Cricetulus griseus: one gene and its partner. The protein of the gene in region 1 interacts with the protein of each later gene in a biochemical or structural test. Links are inferred from orthologs where the notes say so. Each region holds a gene or a part of one and is shown on either strand. Other genes may lie near its edges.

Region 1 (4,250 bases):
CGATGAAGGAAACATCTAGAAATAAAGGTAACTGCTCAAGTGCTCCTTTCTCCTGCAGCTTTGCTTAGCATAACTCATCCTAAATAAAAATGAACATTAAGAAGAACCACGTATCTGGCTTTCAACTCTCACCGGTAATCCTAAAAGAGGATTGTTCCCCCAGCATTGTTTTTAAGGACCCAAGTTAATATAAATGAAATTTCAAAATGGCCCTAATTATTTTTTTTAGTCATTTATTTTTTTTTATTCTTATGCATTGTGTTTTTGCCTGCATGGATGTTTGTATGAGGGTGTTGGATACCCTGGAACTGGAGTTACAGATAGTTGGGAGCTGTTGTGTGGGTGCTGGGAATTGAACCTGGGTCCTCTGGATGAACAGACAGTGCTCTTAACCACTGAGCCATCTCCCCAGCCACTGCCTTAGTTATTTTTAAGATAGAAAGACTGATGTGGTCGTGTATTTATCAATCCACATTTGGTTTCTGTAACGTCTCAGAGATGTTCCATATATCTAAAAAGTCAAGTTGGTCTTGCTTAACATTCATTCCAGAGGAAAGGCTTGTCCACTTTCTCTGTGTCTAACGTTTAAAAATAAGCTTATCTGTCTCGTTCAATATCAACTTCATCTTCAATATCAACTTCATCAACTTTTATCTTTCCAAGACACCACTGAAAAGAGTAATGGATGGCTTTCCCCCTGAGATGAAGAGTCATTGAGCAGTTAAAACCATTATCCTACAACAACACAACCATTTGCTCAAATCTGTAACTCAGTTCAAATCCTTCTGGACTACCAAACAATGATTTTAAGATGAATTATAATTTTTAATTCTGTTTTTCAAAGTTGCTGTCTGGAAATAACAAGAAATGTTGTTGGCAAAGAAAACTTTCACATGGAGGAGAAAGCAGTACATCTGCCATTTTTGTACATGAAATGTTATGCTACATGCTACACAGAAAAAAGAAGAAAACTTTAAAATCAAAGTTCGTTTGTATCATGTATCCTGTGGCCAGACAAGCATTCCTTTTGATTACTAATGAAGAACAGAAGATCAGAAAGTACAGTTTACTTATTCATCCTAATGAAAACCAGCTACAACCCCAATCATTTCTGGGGGAAAGTTCAAGAGAGGGAGTAGAATTAATGCACTGTCAGTAACTAAAAGCTTACATCAGGCCCTTCAGGGTCAGCGATTTAACATTTAAATTAACTTTCTGTTTACCAAGTTACACATTCCCTTTTCCTAAAAATCCAAGTACAACACAATGGCAACATAAGCATTTACTTCTTTAAAAGTGCCAGAAGTATGACCAAAAACTGATTTTCACTTACATAACAATCTTCAAAACTTATCAACAAGGGGTTATGAAACGAAAGCGTCCCATCCTCTCTGTTCATAAAAGTTCACAATGTGCTAAGAAATCGAGGAGGCAAAAAATCTCAAACACTAAGGAAAAATGTACTAAAGACACAAGGGAGGGATAATAGCTAAACGCAAAAACTTCATCGTCAATATAAAAAGCAACAAATTCTAATCTACAACTCTTACCCTTGACGGCAAGGAACAGAATATCCTGCTTTACACATTCTGGGACTGCAATTCTGCAATGCTAAATCCAAAGACAAAGCCGCCCAGGGGAAAATAACAATTGCGCAACAGATCAACAGCTCCAACTTGTCCCTTGGCCCCAGAGCAGCGAGGTTTGCACGCTATAAAGCAGGAAAGGGCCAACCGAGGGCCTCCGTGACTGCCAACCGGCCGCTGTCACCCACCCGGAGGCCACAGCCACGCACACATACACAGTGTGGGGGCCCCGCGAGTCACGACGCTCAGAACACACAGCCCCGCGTGCGGCTGCCTAGGGCCTCTGAGCCCGCCCAGGTCCTCAAGTCCTCGCCTGATGTGAGGCCAATGCCGGATTCCCGGGCTGAGGAAGCGCGAGGAGCCCTGCCCGTCGGGGCACCTGAGCACGAGGGTCACCCGGTGACTTTCTCTTCCGCCCCCAGAGGGCTGGGCTTTTCTAGATCAAGCCGGACTGGCATGATCCTACAGACGACGAGCTCTCGGGCTGAGAAAACCACAGACGGCCAAGGGGGCTTGGCAGCCGCGCTGGAGGTCGCGGCCAGGGGAGGGAAGCAGTCTCCGGGGCGGTCGCCGAGGAGACCTCAGCTCCCCCGAGCACGGCCCCGTGACTAGGCACATTTTTACCGGCACCGAATCTGGGAAACTACGCAAGCCCGGAAAGGGCCGGGCTGCGCCGGCGAAGACAGCCAGCGTCCGCCCCCTCCCGCCGCCTCTGAGCATCCGACCCAGCGAGGTGGTGTTGATGCCCTCTGGCCCCACCAAGCCCGAGCTTCCTCCACACCCCAACCCCAGTGCCCCCGGGGACCTCAGGCTCGGTCCCTACTCTCATCGCTGCCCCAACACCCCCGTTGCCTTCCCGGCCCGGCGGGGGGCAGCTCCCAGGTCGGGCTGTCGCAGTCTGGGTTCAGACTGTCCCTCCCTCCCGGGACCACTGTCCCCTCGAGCTCCCGTCTGCTTCCTGGCACAGCCGATAAGCCCAAGGGCCGGGGCAGCACCTGCTGGGACTGTAGTCCTGGCGGCGGCAACTCCAAGTCCATCATGCTGAGGACGAACGCTGCACTGAGGATCCCCGACGGCGACGCTACGTTGGCTGCCGAGGTGCGGCGGCGGCAGTGACTCGACGGAGCTGCCGGGATCCAGCAGACAGCCGGCTCGCTTGAGTGTCCGGCCAGTCTCAGTCCGCTCCGCCCCCCGCCCCCTGGGGGCGGAACAAGGACCTGGGGAAGCGACAGGAACTTAAGGGCGGAGTGAGGGCTGGAGCGAGAGGCAAGGGCTAGAGTCCCCGGCGAGGGCCCGGGGGCGGGGCAAGGGACTGGGGGCGGGGCAAGAGCCTGGAGTCGTGCAAGGGTCCTGGGCAGGGAAAGGGTCCGAAGACATGGCGAAGGGCGGAGCGAGAGTAAAGGTACTTAGAGGGGCCGGAGGGGCGGGGCAAGGGCCAGAGGGCTTGCCCTAGGGCGGGGCAAGGGTAAAGGGACAAGGCTGGGACCAGAGGGGCGGGTCAAGGGCCTGAGGGCTTCCGGCAAGAGTTGCTGTATTCCCCTCGGCCTCCGCTGATGACCATCCTCTAGCGGTGGTCCGGGCGTGGCCGTGGTCCCACGGGGGCGGAGTGCGGGCGAGAGGCCCTGGGCTGCCCGAGTCCTCGCTGGGACAGCTCTCCCTGGCTAGAGATTAGCAGCTGTTTGCTGAAGGTCGCTGGGGCTCTGGCGCTTTGAAGCAGTTTAAACAGTTGGAGCAAACACACCGGGAGCCCATCCCGGGCGCTGCTATCGGAGCTGCGCCTCCCTGATTCGGATCCGCAGAACCTTGCCCGCTTTATCTCGCCCCACCGGCTGACTGTGGCGCCAGCCGGGGGTGGGGGCTCTGGGCAGGGACTGTGCAGACAGCCAACTGCTCTCTGTCCCCCTGTCCTGCTCATGCTGGTGCGGGACAGCTCTGCCCCAGGGAGATGCGTCCACATTGCAAACTTAAGTGAACGCCCTCTATTTCTCCCACGTGCCCGCATCTAGCGGCCAGAGCTGAAGGAGTGTGTGGGTCGTTCACCCAGAACACACAGGAAGCAGCCACACAACAAATAGCATCCTTCACAGGTGTGGATCCTCATGATACAGTTCCCCCTCTTTTTTACGATTTTATTTTGGAACTTTGAGATAGGGTCTCATGAAACCTGGGTGGTTTTGAGCTCCTTATCCTCCTGCCTCCACCTCCCAAAGGCTGGTATATAGCAGTGGTTCTCAACCTTCCTAATGCTACTACCATTTAGTACAGTTTCTCTTGTGACCCTAAACCATAAAATTACTTTTGCTGCTACTTTATAACTGTAATTTTGCTGTTATGTATCACAATGTAAATATTTGATATCTGAAATGTGACCTCTGTGAAAGTTGATCCATCCCCAAAGGGGTCACGACCCATGGCTCCAATATAGGCTATGCCACTAGGTTCTGTTGTCCGAGATGGTGATTGTTTTTACAATGTCCATTCCCAAACATACTTCCCTAGCCCCTGAAAAAAAAAATCCAATCTATAAAACAGATCGTAAAGGGCCTAGAAAAAAATCGAGGGGCGTTCACTAATGTGTTAATTGTTGTTCTTTTGCTTCAAATGCTAGGATAAAGTAGGAAGGGGGTCCTGCAGGGGGTGGGGGAGGGCATGGTGGATTCCATG
Region 2 (3,566 bases), on another chromosome or scaffold:
GTGGTGTTTGCAGTTTGAACCCCCCCATATGCAGGTGCAGCATTTGCAGGTACATAACAGTCCTGGTGATGGAGTGTTTAATCAAAGGGGGGTGGATGCATCCTTTGTTCTTGTGCCGGTTTTCCAAGAACTGGTATAGAGCAGGAAGAAAAGAAAAACAGCATGAGCTGCCTACTCAAAATATTCTTCCTTTTATGTGCCAAAGTGTCATTCTGGAATCTGTCCAGGTTCAGGAAGATGGGTGGTAATTGTGGCCAGAATCTATTTTGTGCTTTCACTGAGGTCTGCTGATCAATGTATGGAAATATTTACATTCTCCTGCATTTAGAGCTCTGGTGGCAGAGCTGTCTAGTTAGAAACTGTCTGTTTAACCTTTGTGTAAAAGTCTGACCTCTTCATGAGTTTGGTAGTTACATGTATGCAGAGTTTGGATCTTACCAAAGGAATTCTTAATAGAATTTCTAATTAGTAGGTGTTTGTTTTACACATGGCTTTATATTGCATAGGGCATTAAAGCCGGTGCCCTCCTGACGTTCTTGGCATTATGAGCGGGAAGCTTGGCATTTTAAGTGGCCTGGAGTGAATCAGCTGGCCTGGCGCTGGGAACCGAGAGAATGAGTTGGGCTTCCCTCAGCTTCTGCTGACTTACATTCTGGCAGTCAGGTTTTCCAAGATAAACCTGCTTATAAGCCATTACTCCCCTCCCCCCAACAGTATATGATTCAAATAGCTCAACAGTATTACAAGGAATGTGTTCCCTCCCAGGTAGTTCTCCCTGGCTTTGTTCTATAGCAGCCATACCCATCTCGGATCAGTAGTAGCAGGACAAACTAGGCTGTTTTCTTTGTCTAAGTGATTGTTGCTTTTGTGCTATGTCTGGGAATATCAAGAGCAACGTGTTCAATGGGTTTGTTTTGTTTTCTTTTAGGAGTTGAAACAAAATGTCAGTCAGTGTGCATGAGAACCGCAAGTCCAGAGCCAGCAGTGGCTCCATCAATATCTACCTGTTTCATAAGTCTTCCTATGCGGACAGTGTCCTCACTCACTTGAACCTTCTACGTCAGCAGAGGCTCTTCACCGATGTCCTCCTCCATGCTGGAAACAGGACCTTCCCTTGCCACCGGGCAGTGCTGGCTGCATGCAGCCGCTACTTTGAAGCCATGTTCAGTGGTGGCCTGAAAGAGAGCCAGGACAGTGAGGTCAACTTCGACAATTCCATCCACCCAGAAGTCTTAGAGCTGCTTCTCGACTATGCATACTCCTCCCGGGTCATCATCAATGAAGAAAATGCCGAGTCGCTCCTGGAAGCTGGTGACATGCTGGAATTTCAAGATATCAGAGATGCATGTGCAGAATTTCTGGAAAAGAACCTGCATCCCACCAACTGCCTGGGTATGCTGCTGCTGTCTGATGCACACCAGTGCACCAAGCTCTATGAACTCTCATGGAGAATGTGTCTCAGCAACTTCCAAACCATCCGCAAGAATGAAGATTTCCTCCAGTTGCCCCAGGACATGGTTGTGCAGCTCTTGTCTAGTGAAGAACTGGAGACAGAAGACGAAAGGCTTGTGTATGAGTCTGCCATGAACTGGATTAGCTATGACCTGAAGAAGCGCTACTGTTACCTCCCTGAACTGTTGCAGACTGTGAGGCTGGCCCTCCTTCCTGCCATCTATCTCATGGAGAATGTGGCGATGGAAGAACTCATCACCAAGCAGAGGAAGAGTAAGGAGATTGTGGAAGAGGCCATCCGGTGCAAACTGAAAATCTTGCAGAATGACGGTGTGGTGACCAGCCTCTGTGCCCGCCCACGGAAAACTGGCCATGCCCTCTTCCTCCTGGGAGGACAGACTTTCATGTGTGACAAACTGTATTTGGTAGACCAGAAGGCTAAAGAAATCATTCCCAAGGCTGACATTCCCAGCCCAAGGAAAGAGTTCAGTGCGTGTGCAATTGGCTGCAAAGTGTACATTACTGGGGGGCGGGGATCCGAAAACGGAGTCTCAAAAGATGTCTGGGTTTATGATACCCTGCATGAGGAGTGGTCCAAGGCTGCCCCCATGCTGGTGGCCAGGTTCGGTCATGGATCTGCTGAACTGAAGCACTGCCTGTATGTGGTCGGTGGGCACACAGCTGCAACTGGTTGCCTCCCAGCCTCCCCCTCAGTGTCTCTAAAGCAAGTAGAACATTATGACCCCACAACCAACAAATGGACCATGGTGGCCCCACTCCGAGAAGGCGTCAGCAATGCTGCTGTAGTGAGTGCTAAGCTCAAGCTGTTTGCTTTTGGAGGTACCAGTGTAAGTCATGACAAGCTTCCCAAGGTTCAGTGTTATGATCAATGTGAGAACAGGTGGACAGTACCGGCCACCTGTCCCCAGCCCTGGCGTTACACAGCAGCAGCTGTGCTGGGGAACCAGATATTTATTATGGGTGGAGATACAGAGTTCTCTGCCTGCTCTGCTTACAAATTCAATAGTGAGACTTACCAGTGGACCAAGGTGGGAGATGTGACAGCCAAGCGCATGAGCTGCCATGCTGTGGCCTCCGGGAACAAGCTTTATGTAGTCGGAGGATACTTTGGCATTCAACGCTGCAAGACTTTGGACTGTTACGATCCAACTTTAGATGTATGGAACAGCATAACCACAGTCCCGTACTCACTGATCCCTACCGCGTTCGTCAGCACCTGGAAGCATCTGCCTTCTTAAAGTACAGCATCCTGAAGAAAGTGCGTAAGAGGTAAGAAAGCAGAGCTGGAGATGCAAGGGTGAATTTCAGCAGGGTAGCCTAAGTTCAGAGGATGTGCAATGAGATGTATTGCTTGTTACCCATCCGAAGTTTCATAGAAACTATAAAAAAGAAAGGCTTTTCACCCTTACAGGATAACTACTGTGCTAGCCACCACTGCAAACGCCCTGCCAACAGAAACCAGTGGTTCTCAGCCATCATGGAACCTCAGAATCTCGCAAAGAGATTTGCAGAAACTGCCCATTCTAGAGACTTTGCTTTTATTTGGTCCAGGTGGAACCTAAGCATCAATACTTTTTATATGCCTTTGTGTTTTACCTGCATGTCTGTGTGAGGGTATTGGATCCCCTGGAACTACAGACAGTTATGAGCTGCCATGTGGGTGCTGGGAATTGGACCCAGGTCCCCTGGAAGAGCAACCAGTGCTCTTAAACTCTGAGCCATCTCTCCAGCCCCACATCAGTACTTTAAAGAAAGTTTCCCATTAGTATCCGACCAGTTTGGGAACTCTAGGCGTACATTAGTAATTCCAGTTAGTGGTTGTGAAATGTCTTGTGTTCCTAGAACAGGACCGTATGCTTCACTCAAGCATCCTTTTGATGCTCAGAACAACCCCTGGGTGCTATTCTTAACCTCCCTAGTCAGGTGAGCAAGCCTGGTGCCTGTGGAGCATCACTAGTAAATTGTCCAGCATCACAGACCTCAGCAAGTGGTCAACCTAGTCAAGAAATCCACTGGGCAGTCTGACTCTAGAACACAAACACTTAGTGTGTAATCAAGCTGCTGCCTGGTAAACTTGAACTTCATCTTGTTAT

What was found.
Region 2: the proteins of Nfe2l2 (region 1) and Enc1 form a complex in vitro, tested with the Homo sapiens proteins (2 studies listed by BioGRID). The link is inferred for Cricetulus griseus from reciprocal best matches to the Homo sapiens genes NFE2L2 and ENC1.

What each region holds. Positions count from the first base shown.
Region 1 is NC_048599.1:99,368,030-99,372,279, reverse strand, and holds the start of Nfe2l2 (nuclear factor erythroid 2-related factor 2), read right to left. Parts: upstream 2,823-4,250; 5' UTR 2,627-2,822; coding exon 2,582-2,626; intron 1,702-2,581; exon of another isoform or gene 1,551-1,701; intron 1-1,550.
Region 2 is NC_048595.1:315,972,414-315,975,979, forward strand, and holds part of Enc1 (ectoderm-neural cortex protein 1), read left to right. Parts: intron 1-928; 5' UTR 929-941; coding exon 942-2,711; 3' UTR 2,712-2,742; intron 2,743-3,566. UniProt on the Homo sapiens protein: Actin-binding protein involved in the regulation of neuronal process formation and in differentiation of neural crest cells.